Linked DNA regions of Arabidopsis thaliana. The protein of the gene in region 2 interacts with the protein of the main gene of each other region in a pairwise test. Each region holds a gene or a part of one and is shown on either strand. Other genes may lie near its edges.

Evidence for each region. The genes of interacting proteins can lie anywhere in the genome.
Region 1: the proteins of PTR6 (region 2) and AT2G27290 interact in a protein complementation assay, tested with the Arabidopsis thaliana proteins (one large-scale study listed by BioGRID).
Region 3: the proteins of PTR6 (region 2) and AT5G03345 interact in a protein complementation assay, tested with the Arabidopsis thaliana proteins (one large-scale study listed by BioGRID).

Annotation. Positions count from the first base shown.
Region 1 is NC_003071.7:11,676,606-11,684,430, forward strand, and holds AT2G27290 (FAM210B-like protein, putative (DUF1279)), read right to left. Parts: upstream 3,315-7,825; 5' UTR 3,161-3,314; coding exon 2,924-3,160; intron 2,438-2,923; coding exon 2,240-2,437; intron 2,152-2,239; coding exon 1,981-2,151; 3' UTR 1,700-1,980; downstream 1-1,699. Other genes in the region: AT2G27285 (nuclear speckle splicing regulatory-like protein (DUF2040)), read right to left, coding at 273-491, 924-1,046, 1,134-1,292; NTL8 (NTM1-like 8), read right to left, coding at 3,812-4,186, 4,573-4,770, 4,843-5,096, 5,170-5,350; AT2G27310 (F-box family protein), read right to left, coding at 7,349-7,825.
Region 2 is NC_003070.9:22,980,213-22,988,491, reverse strand, and holds PTR6 (Major facilitator superfamily protein), read left to right. Parts: upstream 1-4,069; 5' UTR 4,070-4,115; coding exon 4,116-4,223; intron 4,224-4,383; coding exon 4,384-4,507; intron 4,508-4,590; coding exon 4,591-4,808; intron 4,809-4,893; coding exon 4,894-6,345; 3' UTR 6,346-6,547; downstream 6,548-8,279. Other genes in the region: AT1G62220 (uncharacterized protein), read right to left, coding at 1-240; AT1G62210 (uncharacterized protein), read right to left, coding at 1,866-2,396; AT1G62190 (Kua-ubiquitin conjugating enzyme hybrid localization domain-containing protein), read right to left, coding at 6,629-7,516.
Region 3 is NC_003076.8:809,868-817,318, forward strand, and holds AT5G03345 (membrane magnesium transporter-like protein), read left to right. Parts: upstream 1-4,217; 5' UTR 4,218-4,328; coding exon 4,329-4,405; intron 4,406-4,502; coding exon of another isoform or gene 4,503-4,506; coding exon 4,507-4,555; intron 4,556-4,656; coding exon 4,657-4,848; 3' UTR 4,849-5,440; intron 5,441-5,523; coding exon of another isoform or gene 5,524-5,611; 3' UTR 5,612-5,752; downstream 5,753-7,451. Other genes in the region: AtCDC48C (ATPase, AAA-type, CDC48 protein), read right to left, coding at 224-532, 639-2,341, 2,441-2,669, 2,929-3,091, 3,238-3,266; AT5G03350 (Legume lectin family protein), read right to left, coding at 5,937-6,761. UniProt on the Arabidopsis thaliana protein: Mediates Mg(2+) transport.

The DNA of each region.
Region 1 (7,825 bases), on a different chromosome or scaffold from region 2:
AACAAATCACTTTAATTTTACCAAAGCTATATGCTATATATCTCCCCATTGCTAATACAGAGACATGAAAATGGTTTCTAGACCCACCCATCATGTCCTAAAAGCCACCACATGCAAACTACCTTGACACAGTTCCCAAACCAAAGCTACTTAAGACAGAAACGTAAAAGGACAAAGATAGGACTTCAGCTATCCTAGCAAGTACTAGTTTAATAGACGAGAGAGATAGAAACACAAACATGAAATAAAATGAACAAGGAAACAGAACTTACATCATCTCTTTCCTCACGAAGTTCACGCAATCTTTCTTCTGCCAGCCATTTCTTTTGTTCCTCAAGTTTCCTTTTATAAGCGCCAGTAACAAACTTTTCTTTATCCGAAAAAAGATGTTCGTCTTTCTCCCTCTCTTTCGCAAGCTTTCTCTCATAAACTATCTCATGTTCTTTCTCTCTACGTTCTGCCTGTTTCATCAAATTCTGTATATACCTTGGCTGCAATTAGAAAAAGAAAACTAAATGAAACATAAGCAATCCAATAAGTCATTCTGAAACCTAATTAAAGTGCCCCAACTACAGAGAATGTAACACCATAAGAAACTACTAAAACTGACGCATGTAGAGGCTCAGAAACTTCACCTCTACTTAACTAAAACAAAGTAACTAAGCTTTACACTTTTTGGTAACTATATGTAGCCATGGGTTATAGGCTGGTAGTTGTTAGGGTATTGCAGGATATCAAGATTTTGGTGGTTTCTAAGGGTAATAAGAAAATCCAGCTAAGTTATGGCTTCCTATACTTCAATCATATGATAAACCAAGCCCGACACAGATCATAGATTCCTCTTAAGAACATGGAAACATAGATTTTGATTCCCTAAGCTACAGAAGCTTCAAGTCTTAAGCTCTCTAAGAGATAAACATTACCTTGCGTTCTTCACGATCTTGCATTCGAGGAAGAACAGCTTTCTGTTTCATATCATCATAAACTTCATCATATGAAAAAGCAGAAGGATCCTCCTCTAAGGCTTTCTTATGCTGCTCCTCAATCTAAAACACACAATCACTTATCAAGCAGATCAAATTGAAGGAAATATAAGAAACAAGAACTCGAGTCAGTGGAGGAAAAAAGCTTACTTCTTTATGAGCTTTGGTCTTTGTTGCTTGACGAGAAATCTCCTTCTCGACGTCGTGATCTTCTTCTTCATCAAATATTGAAGCGGGTCGAAGTGGAGGTCGAGATGATGATTGTTTTTTCTGGGAAGGAGCTCTGATTTGCAATCCGTACTTCTTCATCTTCGATTTCTATTCCAGGAGCAACAAACTTCTGCAAAATCGATTGAAAATTAGCGCAATTCCTGCGAAGTCCCAGATTCTGGAAAAACACTAATCAAACCCAAGCATGAAATAGGTAGATTTCGCTGTAGAATCGATTAGGGTTACAATTCACAAAAGTTGATTGGTGTGATTTTCCCAGGATTAAGGAATTTAGTAATCCATGGAAGAAAGTGAAAGAGGAAGGGAGGAGATAAAAAGATCCAATTAACTATAGATGGTATAGATGATTACGGCCCAATTGTTACGGCCCAATGTTTTCATATTTTGATGGGCCGAGATAATGAGGTTCTAGAGTACAAGTTAAAATGCATCACCAAAACGATCGAGGTCATATGCTCTGGATCACAGAGATCATTCCCAACCATTTGACAACTACTTCTCCCACTTACCAAATGTCTAGAGGTTAGTGAATCGTGAAGTCGTAATTTCCAACCAACCACATATTAAATAGACAAGTCTAAAACTATATCACAACTTGGATTCTGCCACTCTTTGGTTCTGTATCTTTCTAACTCATCATCATATTCAGATATGCTTCAATCTTTTTTGTACATACAAGGTAGAGAAGTGAGGATTGTACAGGATTATGTATGTTGATTATCAAGTAATATATAGAACATCTACATTATAATACCTCCAAAGTAAGCTACTTGTCATCATCCTTCTCCTTGTCCACTTTCTTCCCAATCCAATTGGCTACAATAGGAGTCAAAGCCACTGTAGGCGGAAACCTTATCGGAGATGCAGCTTTATGCGCTGCGTAAGCCAAAGCAAAGGCTCCTACTTTCTCTCCTGTCTCATTCGTCGAAATCCCAACCTTAAACACAAAACATCAAAATCAGCTTTACTCAACCCAAGATCAAGAAAACATAAACTTAGTATGATCAAGAAGTGAAAGTAGTAACCTTTAGAAGAAGAGCTTGAACATCAACACCGGAAGTCACAAGGACATAGCAGAGTGAGAAGGAAATGAGAGAAAGAGTAATAGATGTAGCGAGATAAGCACCACCATACTTTGCAAGTAACTCTTTAGCCTCATCTGTTTTTGATTTCTTCTTCTTATTGTCTCCATCACTTCCTTCATCATCCTTAGAGCTTAATATCTAATCACAAGTCCATCCAAAACACCATTTTACTACACAAAAACTTCCATAGATTCTACAACTTCCAAAAATGCTCCAAACTAACCAATCACATATGCTCACTTGTTGATAAAAAAAAACACCATTTTAGCATAGTTAAAAGCTTACATAACTTCTACAACTACCACGAAAACGATCATATCTACTCACATAATCATCTAAACACCATTTTAGTACCCTTAGAAGCTTCCATAGCTTCAACAACTACAAAATTGCTCACATAATCATACAAAACACCATTTTAGTTACACTTAAAGCTTCAATAGCTTCTACTAATACCAAAATTGCTCTGAATTAGCCTATCATTCAGCTCAGAAACAATCATATGTCCTCACATGTTCATCCAAAAACACTATTTTACTTACACTTAAAGCTTCCATAGCGATAGAATCATCAATTTTAGATTACGAATTAAAACGAGAAATTGCGCAATCGAATTGATTTTACCTTCCATAGACCAACTTCAAGGCCATATTTCTTGGTAACTTCTTCGGCGGAAGGAGGAGGAGGAGAAGAAGACGGCGGCGAAATGTTCTTATCAATGTCCTCCGCCTTCTCACGGACGGCTCTGCATCTGAATTTCTTCGAGGAAGCTGAAACTGAAGAGTGGAAGAATCGGATTTGAAGGTTTCTGGTGTTCAACAAGGAAGACGAAGGAGGAATTTGCAGAAGCATCATCGCCATTGTTTTTTTCAGCCACCAAAAAAAACAGAAAGCAAATCTTTTCACCTTATTATTTTTATTTATTGTATGACACACAATTATTTTTTATTTTTTTCTGAAGGTATACCATTTGTTGTATTAGAGGTTCCAGAGTAATCTTTTACATATATAAAACTTTAATATAGTATAAAAAATCCATAAGTAAGAAAAATATTTTTAGACTATTTTATAAATATAAAAAACTACAAACAACATTTGTTTGATTCTCAGGCGTTTATATTTTGAACTGAAACTTTTGTATATCTAAACATAGTCTAAAATAATTTATTTTACTTATGGATTTTGTATAATTTATTACAATTGTATATAACTAAGAATATCACTTTGCAATCTCTAATACAACAAACAGCAAAACTTAAGGAAATGGTGGTATTATTCACATTTACTATATGTGAAATTTGTTGTCTCTATTTTCACGGAACTATCATCTCTTTCCCAAAGCTTTCACCCAGATTATAAAGGTTTACTATCCGAAAATATTCTCTTTTCCATAAAAATTTTGGTTTGTACACAAGTTTGAATAATTGTTAAGACTAGCTCAACATGCCATATTGCCATAGACCAAATACTATATTTATTTATGTATAAATAATATGTATGTCGTAACTAGCTTTAGTTCCTAGCTATTAATACAGTCCAAAAGAAAGAAAATAAGATAGCCAAGAAAACAGTAGTGGCCAGAACATTCTTCATCAATCTCTGGCTATCATCTTTCTTGATTTTGAACGGGTTCGGGAATCTCCAGCTGGAGTCGGTTCCGGCAACGTTCTTGATCCTGAACAAAGCGTAACAATTCATTGTTTCCGTTGATTCTTTTTTTATACCACATTTTGACCTCTTACTCGATGACTCGCTTGATATTGTTTCTTGATGAGTTGGATTAGTTGGTCGAAACGCTTGGCTAGCTTTCAACGCTTCTTCGTCGAGCTTTATTATATCATCGTTCAGAATCTCGGCGTAACAATCATCATCGGTATCGGCCTGATCCTGCATCGCAATAGAAAGAGATCAACTTCAGTTACAAACTCTAAACTCTACCAGTACAAGAAAACTAAGGATGTTCAGCCCAAGTGTTGGTTTAGTCTATTGAGTTATAATATTAGTAGCCAAAATAAAAACCAAACATTGGATATATTGGTTTGTTACGTTTTAAGTTTAGAATCTGCTTTAGTAAAATAACAACTTTAGTGAAATCTAATGTACTATGAATCCGTTATAGTATGGTACTATGGTGTTGGTTTGGTTTTAGTTTCTTAATCGGTTCTGTTTTCGGAACTATATTGAATTTAATGTGGTTTCGATTAAGATTGGAGCGGATAATTTTACCAGTATTAAACATCGTTAAAAGACACATTCCTCAAAAGCAAGCTGACCTCAACAACATTTGATGATTCTGCGATGTCACCATTTGGTATCTGATGCTCAGATTCATAGTAGGATTTGTCCTCCTTCTCCAAACCACCTCTTTGGCCAACGTAGCCATCGTCTTGCACAACACCATCCTCCATTTTTTGGGTCGAACTAGCCCGAAAATCAGCATTTTTTCTTAACCGGCACACCACTAATGCATCCTGTGAAATCCAAATTTCAATATATCTCAAAACATTAAAACTCAACCTATTCAAAATGAAAGTTTTAAGAACCTGTGGGGCTCCATGGATGCAGTATTCATGCATAATCCACTCCGTTCTCTCGCCACGAGGAGCCCGACCGATATGAAATACAAGCGTTCTCTTGGTTCCAACAACTTGGTTCCCGGATTTAACACTCCGCTCTTTACCGGTCGCTTTCCAATATCCTAGCTGTGTGGCTCGCCGGCTTTGTGACCCGTGCGGGTACTTCCTCCCCCTCGCGCAGAAGTAAAACCACTCGTTCTCCGATTTCAGTTTCGATTCCTCTGTTTTATAGGCACAAACATTCAAATTAGTGAACCAAAGTAAACATAAAGAGAAAGAAAACCGAAGTAAAACCTGGCAAGTCCCACGGCTCGAACTTGTAAATCTCGACCTCAGCAATCACAGCAACAGAGTTCTCATCACCATCGATTTTACGACGAAGATAGTACGAGATAAGTTCAACATCAGTAGGAGAGAATCTAAAACCAGGGAACAAAGCCGACACCGCGATCGACATCTCAGCTTCTTTAGACATTGTTTGATCTTTTTGGCTCAGGAACTCGAAAATACTTTGCTTTAGATGAAGAAACATGCCTTATAAATGGCAAGTGTGCAGCTACTTTGCTTCGGGTAAAGGTTTTGTGTTTTTTGATATTTGGCGGCTTCAGAGGGAAAAAGGATGACGTGGACAATGACTGTAAGAATTGGGCGAATAACAGAAGAGTGTAATGAGATAGTAAAGGACAAAAATGATAACGTGGTTATGTATTATTGGACAGAACTCAAACCCAGCTCTGAAGTTCTCTCATTGATGCTTAATAAATCGTCTCTTCATTTTTAAACACGTGTTTCGATATCTTCCTCGGTGTTTGTACCCCGCATGCCAATAAGTTTTTGTTTTTGTTTTTTTGGGTGTAATAACTTATCAAAATGAATTTTTGTTTTTGACGGCAATCAAAATGAATTTAAATCACTTTGTAATTATTTTATTATCTTGCGCCAAGATATTTTCTTTTGTGTAATACAAGTTTTATATGAATCTATTTTATTATTTTTTTGTCGATGAATCTATTTTATTAAATACATTATATTTTTTTATTGCAATTTCTAATCTATTACTTTATTAGCTTACGTCATCATTAACGTTTTAGTTATTTTTAAAATATATAATAAAATCAATAAAATCATATCCTAACTAAACTATATATCCAAATTTGTATCCGTGTAACTTTCTCTAAACTAGTTTTATGTCCTCTAAGCTCATATTGGAACTTATTTGCTTCGAAAGATGGGTGATTAATCTAAACGTGATGGATATAAATTTTAGTGTTCACGTAAGATGATTATGGTTACGGTTATTACGGGTACGGTTTATTAACCATCAGTTACAGTTATAAAATTTTTTAACCTTAACTTTAACCACTATCTATGATTAAAATGATTACGGTTACAACAATTATGATTATATATGGTTATTGTTATTTGATGATTACAATATAGTTAATATTGAAGGCGAAATCTTAAGAATTACCCAAAATATTGTATTGCTTTTAATAAGATGAAAAAGTATATTGTACACCAAATTTTCTTCATATCAAGCAATGTAGCATTCCAACATATTTGTTTGAGAAAAAATCTTATTATTTTCTAGCTTAGATTTTTTCATATCTATTATTTACCTTTTTGACAATTTTTATCCAAACATTCGATATTTGTCTTTGCATATACACGATTACAACTATATTTTGTCTTTGCATATACACAATTACAACGATTATCCAACGATTTTGATACAGTTACTAATAATTAACGGTTAGTATTTTTTTTAATAGTAACTAATTTGTTTTTCAGTTATCGGTTACAGTTTTTAACCAGATTTAGTAACAGTCTGGTTACGGTTCGAAATGCGGTTACAAAATTTTGATCATACCTATACTCATAGTTGCAATCCAGGCAATGAATATGAGATGTGTTGTGTGTTTGCCTGTGGATATTGCCGTTTGGTTAACATAAAAACTGATTTGTGTTTTTTCTTCACCCAAACCATCAAGTCTATAAATCCCTAACCCACTAATCTGCCGGAAAAGAACCCCTACTAATCTAACAAACTGAATTGGGCCCTAAGCCCACACACGTTCGCAACAAACGGAAACAATAATTTTTAATCTATACTAAAAAAATTATTAAAAATATTTCCATAACTACCAAAAAATCTTCTTTGGCCGCCAAATTCCTTCACTGACTAATTTCCGACCGCAACTTATTTCTTTAACCAATTTCGTTTTCAGATTAGGTAATACGTCCAAAAGTGACATTTTAACGACTATATATATTCAAAACTTATCTATCATAAACAAACAAAAAAACACCAAAAAAAAATCAGTATTACGTCATGCTTCTCTAACCAAATATCTTGTATATATTTCTCAACAATTTTCTTTATTACAAATTCAAAGAACGAAAAAAAAAAGATGACAAAGAAATGTATGTATTATTGGATCATTTAAGTATTTTTGTACCTTTCTATAGTTATTTACCTTAACAAAATAAAACTCCACAAAAGCACAAACATAGAGAACCCAAAGATCATACAAATTGTGTCTTGAGCTTTTTCTCTCCTCTCTTTATTCTCTCTCCATTGTATCTTCATTCGCACGTATTCTTCATACCTTTCTTTAGCTCTTCTCTCTTCATCATCTTTACACGATCTCTTTCCATCTAACAACCCTTGTAAAATTACCAAACTATCCCTACCTTTCATACATTTTCCTTCTATGTCCTCTACTTGTAGCCTCACGTCCCTCACGTGTATTTCTCCTCCCACTTCCTCATCCACCTCTTTCCACGCTTCCGCTGACCCGCATGACACAACCGCCGCCACTTCCGCCGCCTCCGCCGTCACTACCGTTGAAAACCGTATTTCTAAATCCCCCGTTAGCCAGTTCCGCCGCGCCGACACCGCCTTTCGACTAGATATATTCGCCGCTCGTTTCTTGATCGGATCGATTAG
Region 2 (8,279 bases):
TTCGTATGCATTAGCGTCTGGACCTTTGGGATTGTTGAAACCAGTAGCAGAGCTATAGACATCACTACTGCTGGAAGTAATACCAGCAGCAGAAAGCTGAGCTCCAATGCCTTTGGTAGTACTTTTTGGAAGAGAGGTGCCTAATTTGGTCTCTTTAGACACTTCTTCGACATGCCTTGCGGTGACAATGGCACACAAAACGCTAATCACGAGAAGCACAACAAACTTTGTGGCATTCATCTTTTGATTGTTTTTATCTTTTGGAATTAAATTGTATGTTTGTGGTGAGTTGTGTTGTGTGCTTCTTCCCAGATCATAGCCATCTATATATACACACAAACTCGATGCACATGTATTTATTAAGGTACGTGAGCATTCTTTATCAAAAGAGATACGTGAGCATTTCTTACAATAAATATACATTCTTAAATTTCATTAGTCAAATTTCAACTAATAGTCATACCAAGATATTTTAACACCTCTCTTGCTCAAGATCAATCGCATGTTTATATGGATATATTTTGGTAGACGAAAAATATTATTTTGAATTAACATGAATGTAGATTTTGATACCAATATAGTTAAATGCTTTATGCTTATAACGTACGAGTTAACTCACCGTGAGGCAGGTCGAAGATGTGTCCAAGGAGACCAAATTAGGAACCTCTCTTCCAAAAACTACTACCAAAGGCATTGGAGCTCAGCTTTCTGCTTATGGCACAACTGACAGCACCTCTTACGTCTCTAGCTATACTAGTGGTTTTAACAATCCCAAAGGTCCAGGGGCCAATGCAACGAAGGTTGCTCCACATATACTAACGGACAAGTCATTGCCAAGGGTCGCAAGGCAAAAGTTTCTTCTAAAAGTGGTTCTTACGCTAAAGGAAATGCGTCAGCTGCAGTGAACCGGAAAGCTGCTGCTGCACGTGCAAAAGGTACAGTAGGTTCCGGCTCCATTGTGAACGGCACTTCCTCTGAGAAGAAAGGCCGCAAAGGGAACAAGAATTGAGCGGGAGGTGCTCTCATGCATATTGCTGATCAATCCTATTAATAATATCCTTAAAACTACAATCTCACAATCTCTTTTGTGTTCATAAATAAAATCACCTCTAAATATTACTATGAAATGCTACTCTTTTGTCTGTAATGGCTTTATTTAAAACATATAATAAATGCATTATTTATGATCTTATATTAATTTTCTTCAGTATTAAAAAATATTTTTATTAGACTCCAACGTCATCTCTTGGTATGCTAAACATTATCTTCGAGACTTGAACATGTGGTTCTTGGTGCATTATATTGGTTAATGGTTATTCAAGCGTATTCAAGTTCCTCGTAATTTAGAAATTCTCCGACCATTAAGTTCGTCGGAAACAAAATGTTTTCTTGTAGAATCCCCTGTTCTCACTTTCCACACAGAATTTTTTCGAGCAATTTAAGTTAGCAACTTCATGAAGTTCTTTAAACCTAGAGATAACGTTTTTTTACACTCGAGAATTTCCTGAATATGGTAAATTCAAATGACAAAATCTTATAAATTGATAGAAATCTACAACAACAAAAGGGCGCCCGGTCCAAGTTTCTTGTACCAAAGCTATTGACACAAGTTCTAATAAAAAATCCTACAAAAGACAAAATATGGAAATATTTATTGATATTTGATTTACACATAAGACTTTAAACCTTTGCGGGGTATCGGGTAGCCAACTCTTTTTATAATGTTGAAAATTAAAATGAAGAAATAGAAAGTCACAATCTCTAAATTATTTGTTTTGTCATACAAAAGAGATTAATGTGACTTTGTAGAGAATATTTATACGTACATATAAGCCTAAGCATGATCACTTACGCTTTATAATGTTTCAAGGCTTTGCACCACTCCCACCGTTGCTACCATCTTCACTCACCTTTGCATTGATGACAAATCTCGTTTCAAAGTTTTTAGTAGTAAAAAGAACTTCGCTTTGTACGTTGGTACCGACTCCCATAACGGAAACACTAGGTTTTCCAGTGTTGTTAGTGGCAAGAGTTGCTTCACCTTCACGTAGAGGAGCTGGTCTTAAAACGCCATTAAGAGGAGCTTTGGTGCCAATAGTGGCTCCACTTTCTTTGATGGGAGAAACTCCTACAATGACACCAATAACAGGAGTTTTAGTGCCATTAGTGGATCCGCCTTCTGTTACATGAGACGGAGCAACTCCTCTAATGCCACCACTAAGAGGAGCTTTGGTGCCATTTGTGGCTCCACCAGTAACATTGTTAGTAGAGTTTCCAATTGGCTGTTTTTTATTCATGAGTTTGGTATTATTGGCCATTCCTCCGATCTTACGTGCTCCAACATTACCACTCAAAGCTGCAATGAATACCACCACAAGTAACTTGATGATATTCATCGTTTTTGGCTCTAATTTTTTTTTATAATCTAAGATAATATTTTGTTTGTGTAGCTTTGAGATTGTGTTCCTAATATCATTCCCACATGTATATAAATAATGTGTATTTTGTACTTACTTAGAGAGAAATACATAGATGTGAAGAGAGTTTTATACGTTTTAATAATCATTCATTATCTTATAGTGACAAATAATGACTCTTCTTCGCTTCATTGAAATTTCAGAGATGCAATGTCCACAAGAATCATGCACACTTGAGCCGTTTAACGTGTGTTGATTCAGATGGATGACTATGCGAAAGTATAGCTACAAAATCACCTAACAGTCAAAATTTAAAATAATTTTCCAACATAAATGTTTCGTATCGTGGAAAGTATAACTTTCTTTTAAAACAAAGACGGTGATTGCATTAACTCGTACCAAATCAATACCATGGGCAACTTAGAGCATGTCCAACGGTTAAGGCCCTAAAAATTTCTAAAAAGACAAAAAAATAGATTTTATTTTAATAGTTATAATCTATTTTTTTAATACAGATAGACCAGTAATAAAAATACATGTGTTATTTTGTTTGTGAGCTCGTCCCTTACTTACGGGTTTTAAGAGTTTCTCTCTCATGTTCCTACTAACTTTTGATTATTTTTTACTTTTTTTATTGTTAGGGCCTCACCTAAAAGCCTCCGGTTGGGGATGGTCTTTAATGCATTAACTTTCAAATCAATATGGGATTGCATTCACTTTCTTTTTGGGTCTTCAAAAAGTTCAAAAACCTCAAGTAATTTCCCTACTTAAATTATCCTTAAAATCTGAAAAAAGAGATTAATCAACTTCTTAAATTCTTCTTATGGTTTTGGTTTACTTTTACTTTTTTTGGCATATGATTTATTTATTAACATTGAAAATAAAATAAAAACAACTTAAAAAGTTGGGTTTAAGTTTTTTTTTGAGCTTTAACACTTGAAGAATGAAATCATAAGACTTTTAAGTTATAAAATCGAATATGGACTTAAATATATCCGGATATCCGTTATCCGGTTCAAATTCTCGGATTATTCGTATCTATATCTTTATTCGGACTATCCGTCGTTTTACTATCTGCATATGTTGGCCGGCTATCCGTTTGTTTGGATAAAAATCCGTGGTAAAATATATTAACCTCATGCGTACTTTGGTCTACTAATAATTAGACTATAAATATTATTCTAATTTTTTGGTGTGTTATTATTGGAGTTGTCTCCTACCAAACAAAAATGCGAAAAGAGTCAATTTTGAATTTTGATCATTTTGATAAAAAGTAAAAGAATCGTTTTATTAAATATTTTTAAATGATCTTTTTTTTTCAAAATCAATCAAACCCGTTATATCTAGATATCTATTAACCGGCCTAAATTCTAGGATTATTTGTATCCGTCGTTTAACTATTCGTATATCTGGCCGGCTATCCGTTTGTTTGGTTCAAAAACCGGATACGGATATCCACGGTTTAAATAGATTAACCTCATGCCTACCTACTTTTGGTATTCTAATAATTAGACTATTCTAATTTTCTGGTGTGCTATTGTTGGAGTTGTCTCCTAAAAAAAATGCAAAGAAGAGTCAATTTTGATCATTTAAAAATATTTAATAAAAACAATTCCTTTAGTTTAATTGGTATACTGGGCCATCAATGGGACCGACCACCAAGAGTTGTGCAAGCAATCGGATTATTTAGCGTTTTTGATGAGTTCCAGTAATCTATTTGCTTTTCTCAATAGCTTTAAAATGGTGAATTCGAATGAAGAAGACGAAAGGAGAATTCTTGACGTTGAAGAATCTCTTCTTACACAGGTTTCGACTTAAATCTATCAATTTGCGTTTGCCAATTTCTCTCCATTTATTTACCCCTTGACATCTTTCTAATTATAGCTATACTTTCAATTTTTAGAATCCACTATGTTCAAGATTCTAACCACAAAAATCCAATCTTTTTTTTGTCTGAATATCTCAGGAGGAAGTGAACAATCACTTGACCGGATTGTCTTCTACAGCTGAAGATGGTTCTATTGACATTTATGGAAACCCACCATCGAAGAAGAAGACAGGAAACTGGAAAGCTTGTCCCTTTATTCTTGGTAAACAAAAAAAAAAGATAAAAAAAAAATTCTTGTTTTATCAGTACTTATATATAACCTCCAAATTTGGTCTCAATGTACAGGAAACGAATGTTGTGAGAGATTAGCTTACTATGGAATTGCCAAGAATCTAATCACTTACTACACAAGTGAATTACACGAGTCCAATGTTTCTGCAGCTAGTGACGTTATGATTTGGCAAGGAACTTGCTATATCACACCTCTCATTGGAGCTGTTATAGCTGATTCTTACTGGGGAAGATACTGGACCATTGCTTCTTTCTCTGCTATTTATTTCATTGTAAGACTAATCAATCTCTTTGGATACTTGCATTTGTTTGTTTAGGTGATTTGCATAGTTAGTTAATCTTGGTTTTTGAATTTAGGGAATGGCTTTGTTGACACTCTCGGCTTCACTTCCGGTTTTAAAGCCAGCGGCATGTGCTGGCGTTGCTGCGGCTCTATGCTCACCAGCAACAACGGTTCAGTATGCGGTTTTCTTTACAGGGCTTTACCTTATTGCTCTTGGTACTGGAGGTATCAAACCATGTGTATCATCTTTTGGTGCTGATCAGTTTGATGATACTGACCCGAGGGAACGAGTTAGAAAAGCTTCTTTCTTTAACTGGTTTTACTTCTCCATCAACATTGGTTCATTTATCTCATCCACTTTGTTAGTTTGGGTTCAAGAAAATGTCGGGTGGGGACTCGGTTTCTTGATTCCCACCGTGTTTATGGGAGTCTCTATTGCGAGTTTCTTCATTGGAACTCCGCTTTATCGGTTTCAGAAACCGGGAGGTAGTCCGATTACTAGAGTTTGCCAAGTTCTTGTAGCTGCATACCGTAAATTGAAGCTTAATCTCCCTGAAGATATCTCATTTCTGTATGAAACACGAGAGAAAAACTCCATGATTGCTGGAAGCAGGAAGATTCAACACACTGACGGTTACAAGAAAATACCTGTCCCCTTTCAGTTTCTCATTTTGAGCTTTTGGAAATGTTCATCGGAACATAAACCTTTGTTTTTATATCTGTGCAGGTTTCTTGACAAAGCTGCTGTTATCTCAGAATATGAATCTAAATCCGGTGCTTTTTCCAACCCATGGAAGCTATGTACTGTAACTCAAGTCGAAGAAGTTAAGACTCTAATCCGTATGTTTCCAATCTGGGCCTCGGGGATCGTCTACTCGGTCCTATATTCACAGATTTCCACTCTATTCGTGCAACAAGGACGGTCCATGAACCGAATAATCCGTTCTTTCGAGATCCCTCCTGCTTCATTCGGGGTTTTCGACACACTTATCGTGCTCATATCCATCCCAATATATGACCGTTTCCTCGTACCCTTTGTAAGACGGTTCACAGGGATACCAAAAGGGTTAACTGATCTGCAGCGAATGGGCATTGGTCTTTTTCTCTCTGTCCTAAGCATTGCAGCTGCAGCTATTGTTGAGACAGTGCGGTTGCAGCTTGCTCAAGACTTTGTTGCAATGAGCATATTTTGGCAGATCCCTCAGTACATACTAATGGGAATAGCAGAGGTCTTTTTCTTCATTGGTCGAGTTGAGTTTTTCTATGATGAATCTCCTGATGCAATGAGAAGTGTATGCAGCGCTTTGGCACTACTCAATACCGCAGTCGGAAGCTACCTGAGCTCGTTGATCCTCACTCTTGTGGCGTATTTCACAGCTCTTGGAGGTAAAGATGGTTGGGTTCCAGACGACCTTAATAAAGGACATCTTGACTACTTCTTCTGGCTTTTGGTCTCTCTTGGACTTGTCAACATTCCTGTTTATGCCTTGATTTGTGTTAAGCACACAAAGAAGAAGGCTTTGTAAGCTATTTTTGTAACAAGCTATGTTGTTTTGGTTCATCATATTCATGGTATACTCTGTATATTGTAATCTGTACTAGTAGATTTTCTTAAAAATATGAATAATGTTTCCGCCATGTAAAAAGAGACTAGAAAGGTTATTTGTAAAAAGTAGTAGTTCAGGTTATTGAAGTTTGCATGCTTACGAAAGATCATCAACAATGGAGGTTTAATCAGCTTACAAGATCTGATACTTAAACCTAATACATGCTCTTTATTCGACACACTCATACATATTCAGATATTCTTTAAATCTTTGTAAAGAAATTAGTCTCGGTTTCTTCTGTCCAGTCAGAGTTTGGCTCGTTCCACGAGTTTGGTCTCACACCGAACTGGAAAAACAACGCCATCTCCAATGCCTTAAATAAGTTACTTTCGTCCAAAACTTTGTTCCATGCCCCACTCACTACACAGTAGTTGCTGTTATACGGTGCTTGGTGATGTCCCGGGTGATCTTTCCGTGAGACAAGCAGTCCCATGTCCTGCAACGCCATCACGAGAGGTGGAAGCTTGCTCTTGGTTCCATGAGCCCAAGCATGGAATTGTTGGCTTAACAAAATGCAAAATGCAAATGTGCTCACAAAGCTATGAAACAGAGGATTGTTAATTGCAAGGTTTAGTGGTAGAACTATAAAAGTTATGGCTCGAGCGATAGTGTATGAATTGTTGGCGAATTGACGTTTTGTGATTGTCCAGGGATACTTGTGATGACCCTGAGACGCTTCAAGTTGGGCTCCAACTATAGGTGTTGATGCACCACCATAGTTATCAATGGCCCAGTGGTAAACACCGGAGCCTAGATCAGCAAACACGTACCCTGCATAACACGCTAAAGCTGGTTGGAGCCAAAGATGAGAACCAAACCCTCCAATGATAGATTTAGCGAAAGAGGCAAATATGGTTGTACTTCCCGCTGCAACCCATAACCGATGAGTCCATGTCGATTGCAGAGTCGGGTCGTTGTTCTTGGAAAGAGGAGGATTCACAAGGCGTTTCTCAACTACAAGGTTCTCATGATTAAGCTGAGGATTGGTGGTAGTAACAGAGCATGTGACACGTACACGCGTTGGACCATAGCTTCTTGGGATGTTGGTGATGGGTCTTAGAGGGTTCTTGGTTTGAAATGATACAGCCATTGAGAGAGATTAGAGGTCAAAGATATCAAAATTATTGTTTTTGGCAAAGATAGATGAAGCGATCACGATATATAGTGGCAGAGATAAACCAGAGTTATATTGTAGCATGTGGCCATGTGGGTACGTCAGAGATTTATGGGGGGGAAATTATGATCAAATACATCATATAACAATAATTTATCTATCAAAATGTTTGTGGGCGTGATATTGTGATCTAATATATCAATTTCAAGAATCAACGTATCGAATCGTATTAATTGTGTATCGAATCGCAATAACTGATGTTGTACTTTGTAAGAAAGACGAATAACAGAAAATCAGTTATACTAAATCATTAAAGAGCAAACAACAATGGAGGTTAGTAGGTTACTTGTAGCTCGCGAAACTGGAATTGGTTGACCAGACAAACCTTTTTTCTTCTTTTTTGGATAAATGTTTTCTTTAATTAACAAATTACATGCCTAACGGGCCTAGTGATTTAGAGTAGTTTTGGGGGTAGAATGTTTGGGCTGTAGTGTAGAGCAACGAAAGTTAAGGAACTATTTTATGGGGGTGGCTAATTTAAATACCAATAATATTTGGGCCATAGTGTAGAGAAACGAAAATTAGGGGAGATTATTAGTTCATGATCCAGAGTCTCCAGACTCTTTCTTCTACGGAGGCCATTTGAAAATGTATGGATCTCGTTTAATGAAAATGGGCCATAAACTTGATGACTTTATTTGTTGCCCTAGAAATTTACTAAAGGTTTTAAAATTTAAAT
Region 3 (7,451 bases), on a different chromosome or scaffold from region 2:
TCCAACGATTGATTTTTTTCTCGTATATTATAACTTCCTAAGAAATTAACGTTAAGTAACCGATCAAAGGCATTGTGAATGAAATAAACATAGAAATAATTTGCTCAAGTGATTATAAGCTGGCAAACCCAGATGATTTTAAACTGTATCAATCTCGACATCATCCAAAAGAACCTAATTTAAGTTAAAGAAAGAAGAAAAACGATCACTAAGAAATCAAAATCTAACTGTAGAGATCGTCGTCATCAGCTGCAGCTGCAGAAGTGGCAAAGGGATCGGCGGCTGCAACACCAGTGGTGCGTCCGACACCAGCGGTTGAGTCAAACCTGAACTCAGATCCAAACCCTCTGGATTGCTGCAGCGTCTGAGCAAAAGCTTGGTACTTGCGAATATCAGCATCACTCACACTTCTCCTTGCATATTTCATCGACTCTTCGAAATGAGCAGCTCTAATCTCTGAAACTTCATCATCCACCATATCTTCCTCCATGGCCTCTGGATTCTGGCTCCTTCTACGCTCGTTCTCAATATCCTGAGGAACAAAACACACAAAAAAGGGTCAAGATTAGAACAATTAAAACGAATTGGCACTTAAGGTTCCTTAATCACATGTTTCAGGAGGTAATCAAATCACTGACCTTTTCGATGTTTTCTCTGATGGCGTACTTGCAAGCTCTCTGGCAGATCTCGGTGATATCAGCACCACTGAATCCCTGAGTGTACTTTGCGAGTGCAGTAACATCTACATCTTTAGCGACGGGAGATTTTCTCAAGCAGGCCTTAAAGATATTGAGACGGGAATCTTCATCAGGTAGAGGAATGTAGATAAGCTGGTCGAGTCTTCCAGGTCGAAGAAGAGCTGAATCTATGATATCCGGTCTGTTAGTTGCTCCAATAATGAATACCGTCTTCTTTGCATTCATTCCATCCATTTCTGTCAAAAGCTGATTCAACACTCTGTCAGCTGCACCGCCGGCATCACCCGCGCTGTTCCCTCTCTGAGTAGCAATGGAGTCTAGCTCATCGAAAAACAGAACACAAGGAGCAGATTGACGAGCCTTGTCAAAGATTTCTCGGACGTTGGCTTCACTTTCTCCAAACCACATTGTGAGAAGCTCGGGTCCCTTGACACTGATGAAGTTTGCTTGGCACTCGTTTGCTATAGCTTTGGCTAACAGGGTTTTACCACATCCAGGAGGACCGTAGAAAAGAACTCCCTTTGATGGAGACATACCAAACTTCTCGAATTTCTCTGGATGCTCCACAGGGTATTGAACAGTCTCCTGAAGCTCTCTCTTAACATTCTCGAGACCTCCAATATCCTCCCAGGAGACATTTGGAACCTCCACAACAGTTTCACGAAGGGCGGATGGGTTGCTGTTTCCAAGAGCAGTGTGGAAGTGTTCATTAGACACAGCCATGGAATTGAGGATTTCGGCGTCAATTGAGTCATCTTCCAAGTCAATCACATCCATCTTCTCTCTGATACATTGAAGGGCAGCTTCAGTGCATAGAGCTGCAAGATCAGCTCCAACATATCCATGCGTGTCCTTGGAGATTCTTTCTAGATCAACATCTTCAGCTAGCTTCATGTTCTTCGTGTGGATCCTAAGAACTTCAAGACGTCCAATTTCATCAGGAACACCGATATCAATTTCCCTGTCGAATCTTCCAAACCTTCTCAAAGCCGGATCAATACTGTTGGGACGATTTGTTGCTCCCATAACAATAACATGGGCACGTGATTTTAGTCCATCCATAAGCGTAAGGAGCTGAGAGACAATCCTCCTCTCAACCTCACCATTCGTCTTCTCTCTTTTTGGTGCAATAGAGTCAATCTCATCAATGAATATGATAGACGGGGCATTCTTCTCAGCCTCCTCAAATGCTTTCCTGAGGTTGCTCTCACTCTCACCAGCTAGTTTCGACATGATTTCCGGTCCATTGATACAGAAGAAGAATGCTCCGGTTTCATTAGCCACAGCACGAGCAATAAGAGTCTTCCCGGATCCAGGAGGTCCGTAAAGCAGAATTCCCTTTGGTGGCTTCACACCAATTGATTTAAAGAGTTGTGGATGCCTCAAGGGAAGTTCAACCAATTCCCTAATCTGAGCCATCTGTTTCCTGACACCACCAACATCGTCATAACCAACCTCATCAAGCCTTTCTTCGTCCTCCCTCTTAACTGGTTCACCCTCACAGAAAATCTCTGTATCTGGAGCCACCACACAGTACTCAGCAGGATCAGTCTCGATCACTTTGAACTCCACACTCCTCATTCCTCCTCTCACTAGGAAAAGATCTCCCTTCCTCACTGGACGGTACGCCTCCAGAAAGTAAGCTGGTGAAAAAAACAATATAAGTTTAGAAAACACGAACTCCAAAAGACAAGCTAGACTATGATATGAAAGAGAGAATCAAAAGATTAAAGCAAACTTACGTTTCAGGTAAGCATCAAAGAGGTTTCCAGTAACGCCTTCAACTGTATCATCAACAGGCAAGATGTGAACACGCTTTCCATACTTGACATCTGGGCATTGGTGAACAGAAATAACATCTCCCAGCCTAACCCTCAAGTTAGACCTTACAACCTTATTCATTCTGATCTTGGGTTCCTCACATGTTTCATCAGCGAGGGCAATGCATACAGTGTCCTTCCTCTTCTTACCCTGAAAATCCAAAACCCCAATCAAGTAAGTAATCACAGAGATAAAAAGAACAATCCAAACCAATTCTAAACTCAAAAAAAAAAACTTCAGACAAAAAAGTTGTACCCTAACTGAATATGTTTACAAGATCAGACAAAGTAAAAAACATAACTGAATATGTTTACAACATGCTCGTGATATACAGTCAAGACACAGACGATCCAAACCAAGTCTAAACTCAAAACACCCTAACATAGTGACATAAGGAACAAAACCTAACCTTGATGAGAATTGTATCGCCTCGGAAAAGCTGGAGTTTTTCCATGGTAGTAGGATGGAGAGAGACAACAGAGTTGTCATCGTTAATAGCTTCATCGACAACAAGTCGGTTTGGAGACTTCTTCCTCTCTAGAATCGCAGTACTGAAATCCTTCTTAGTTTTCCTGAAACAAATACCCCAGGAAGACAAACAAAATCAGCTTTCAGATGAGATCAAACTAAAAAACCCTATTCTCAATATCGAAAAACCCAAGTAAAAAAATCGAAACTTTATGATCGGAAAACAAAAATCAAAGATCTAAGTACTTACGAGTCGGAGGATTCCGGTTCGTTTGACATAATGATAGCTTAAACTGACAAGAGAGCTCTAAGAAGGAAGTTGGGAAATTTGTTTCTAGAGAGATCGATTGGTGATGATGATGATGATGATGAATGGGATCTCAAGGGAGCTGAACTCGGGATTTTATACGCTCTGTGATTTCCTTCTTGTTGGAAAAATAAGCGACCCTTAACTTTTAAGTTTATCTTGAAAAGTTCCAAAAACTAGGTGTTGTGATAAATACACCCATGTTCCCTTAACATCATATCAATTAATTTATATTATTATATGATTTATCGAGAATCAAAACAAAAATCTACCTATATGAAGAATTAAAAAATTTGATGTAATTTTAAACTTATTTTAATAGTGTGGCGAGGGTACGTAAATGTTTATTAAAAACGTTATGGGGGAAAGTTGAAAATAAAAGTAAAAGAGAGGTGAGGATAACAGTTTTACTTTCTGGTTTTAGCAAACACAAGAAAGGAATAGAAGGTTCTTAGGTAGCGGTACCAAAGCAAGCTACATGTTTTTCTTACTTTTTTATAAATAGAAATTTAATATCTTACCATTTGATTTCTTTGTTCTAAAATAGATTTCCGTTTTTTTTATACGAAGTTATCAACATACGATTCAATTCAATAATTGCAGAAATTTTTGTTTGCATATGAATATATCATCAATATGAAATTCTAAATAAATATTCATAATTATTTATTATACGAAAAAATAATTATTTTCCCAAAAGATAAACCCTTATTGTTGTAAAAAAGTTATCAAACTAACTGAACTTTCATCTAATTAAAAATATTAGTTACTTAAAAAAAAGTTTGGGTTACAAAAGATTAATAGGAATCTAGGATATCATCAATCTAGAACTACGCGCCGTTGTTAGTCTCTTCGATATTAGACGTTGCGCCGTTTTCACTTTGAGATTTGCGATATTATAACTACATGCCGTTTTAAACTCCACTGATCGTCTTCTATTCTAGTTCGATTCTCGACGGAGAATACTCGACGAGAAAATCCAGATCGGGAATCAACTTAGAGAAGAAGAAAATTAAAAAAGAGAACTTCTAAAGATGAATTTGGGGTTCTTAGTTGGAGTTTTCGGCGTTCTTATTCTTTCTCATGCCGCTTATTCAACAATCCAATGTATGTCTACTCTTCCCAATCCAATTCCAGTTCCAATTGAGTCAGATCTACTTTAATTTTCGAGATAGGATCTTGATTTGGGTTTCTCTTGTTTATTTCAGATAGAGGATTGTTGAAGATTATGGAGGAAGAGTTTTCTCGACCACCGATTAATGTGAGTATATAATGATAACGGTTTCTCTTTTCCTCAATTGTGTTTGAATTATATCAGCAATGATTATGCTTTTATATGAATCATGATTGGATTTATTTAAGGTTATTCTGGAGTTGATCATTGGACTAGCTCTGTGTATGTGGGCTGCTTTGACTTTCCCTGGTAAATTTCTCTCGATCCATCCGGATTCTGATGAAAACAGGTTTGTGATCATGTTTCTCTCGAACTCTCTGTTTTGCATCAGTGTTAATCAATCTGAATTCATGTTATCTAGTGAGTGTTTTTACTATTGAATTTTTCTCTGTTCGTACTTTGTTGAACTTGGTGTAGAGTTACTACGGGTCTTATAGAAGCATCTTCTGGCTAGATTTGGTTCAATTATTCAGTTTAATCATGGGTGTTTCTAGTGAATATGTTTTCTTTTGACTGAGAAGGTTTACGGATGTGTTGTTAATCAATTGATTCAAAGAACTTGTGCTCTAGAGATGTTTCGAGGGTCTAGTTTTGATGTCTCTTTAACTCTCTGTTGTGCATCAGTGTTTATCAATCTGAAACATGGAAATTTGGTAGTTATTATATTTCCCGATGATTGAATGACCACCAAAGACTCATGTTTATTGATAAGAAACTGTCGTCTAGAGATGTTCTAGGTCAAACATTGATGTTTCTTTAATACTTTGTGCAGCTAAGGTTTTCTAAAATGCAGGACATTCAAAGGGACATTTTCTAGTTTATATTTGGTCCAGTTACGATTATGGGTTTCAAGAGCTTTAACCAGTTCTGCTCCTGGCTAATTCAATCAGTTTATATTTGTTTCATTGGCTCTTTAGACCCACTTTGGTTCCTTCTATGTCGCAGCCTCTCCCCTACCTTTTTGTACATTAGGTTCTTGAATTGGTTTTGAGTTTGGCTTTTGCTAGATAAAGTGAATATCTCCTGTTAACTGGTTTCTTTCAAAAAATTTGCAGGGCGGTGTTTTTACCAGATAATTCGGATTTCATGATATTCAATCACCGTGGCAGACTGTTCCCACCGCAGATCGACATGAAGTTTTGAATTTTTATCACACTGCTTAGTCAAACACTGATCTGTGTAATGTTATGAGATGTTTCCATTGAAATTCTACTCTAAGTAACTACTCTGCTTTGCATCAATTTTTGATTCTTGAAACGAGTCTTGTGATGTTTCTGTGTGTCAGGTCTCTACTTAGAATCTTTTAGAATGAAGAATCAACATAACAACAAGTGCACAGGTCCTAGCAGGATAGGATACTGTGTAAATAGTCAAATACAAACAATTAAAACAACAAAATTTGCTATTTTATTCATTCCGGTTACAACTTTCTGATACATTAGAAAAAGCATAACCGAACAGAACCGGTTTAGATTCTCTTGGCACTGTTCTGGAAGGTCCAACTCCAAATGTCATGACGTTCAACGCCACGGCCCATGGCACCAGAAAAACCGGGGTACATATTTTGAAGAAAAACCTTAGAGAGATCTAAATGGGCAACGATCAAAGGCTTCTTAGGTTTCTTAACGGTTTCTGGCGCGAGAGTAACTGTAACCTTGGAGTTTCTATACTCAATCCAAGCCTTGTACCTCTCTCCATTACTCAGCTTGAACTCTTTAAACGACCAGTGTTTCATTTTCCCAATTCCTGTCTGAACCCAATAACCAGCTTTCTCAGCAACAACGGAAGTAACAGAGTTGATATTAATCCCGACATGGTTATCATTAATGTCTCCAAAACCTTTGTCCTGAAAAACGTCGAATTCGACAGCAAAGATGTGGTTTTTGGGGTTGCCATTGTTGGTTTTGTTGAATATCCCGAGGTATCCAGCGGGTCCAGGACCGTCACTTTCAATGGAAGGGACGACAACAAAAGCAAGGCCGTGACCAGGGGCGGGTTTGATGCGAGTAGAGATGGAGAAAGTGAAAGAAGTTTCAAATGGATAAGGAGAAGAAGAGTTTGAAGAAGGCTTGAAAGGGACTGGAGTGGACCAAAGACTTTGGCCGTGAGAGAATGGGTTCTCGTCTCGTGTCATGGAGAGAGCTCCGGAGCGGCTGACGCCATCAGAAGCAGGACCGAGCTCAGCGTCTCCAAGGAAGACCAACTCTGAGGTTTTGAGGTTGAGGTTGAGGTTGACGGCGGAAGTGGTGTGAGCTAAGAGCAGAGCAAGAAAACAGAGTTTATGAATCTTCATTGCGTTTTCGTAACTGCTGTTTACTCAAGTGAGAGTTTGAAAGAGTGAAATTATTAACGTGGTGATTTATAAAGAGTAAAACATAAGCCCATGTACATGACGTCATATTGTATGATGTCAAGTAAACGCATCACCTACAAGATTTCCTTATCCTTTCCATAAATTGAACTCGACCAATAAAAAACGTGATTGTTAATAATGGAAAGAAAAAAAAATTAAAACAAAATCATCGAATGGTCACATCAGCACATGACATTTTGTCAAGTAAACGCGTGAAGACACTGTTGTGAATACACTCATTCAGCAGAGTATGTGTACAGTGTACGCATATCTCGTATATTAGATTGTACTTGTCTTTTGCGATGTGAAAGCATAGTATACGGTATCATTATGTGGATGAATGAATAGAAAACACTACGTCAAAAGGATAAGGAAAATCTAGTGGGTTCTTTAATTCTTTACCCACCACATAGACAACACTACGTCGTATAGAAATTTACTTAGAGAGTATTGAAGAGGAACATAGACAACCTTGTGTTTCTTCGGTGTAATTGGTCTAGAAAAGGACCAATGCAATGCAAAGATCGATTGCTGTTTATTTTTCTACGAGAGATATTTTCAAAGAAAATTCACTCAGGAAAAAGTAATTTGCTTTGCATCCCAAATTCTCATCAGTTTATCACACATATG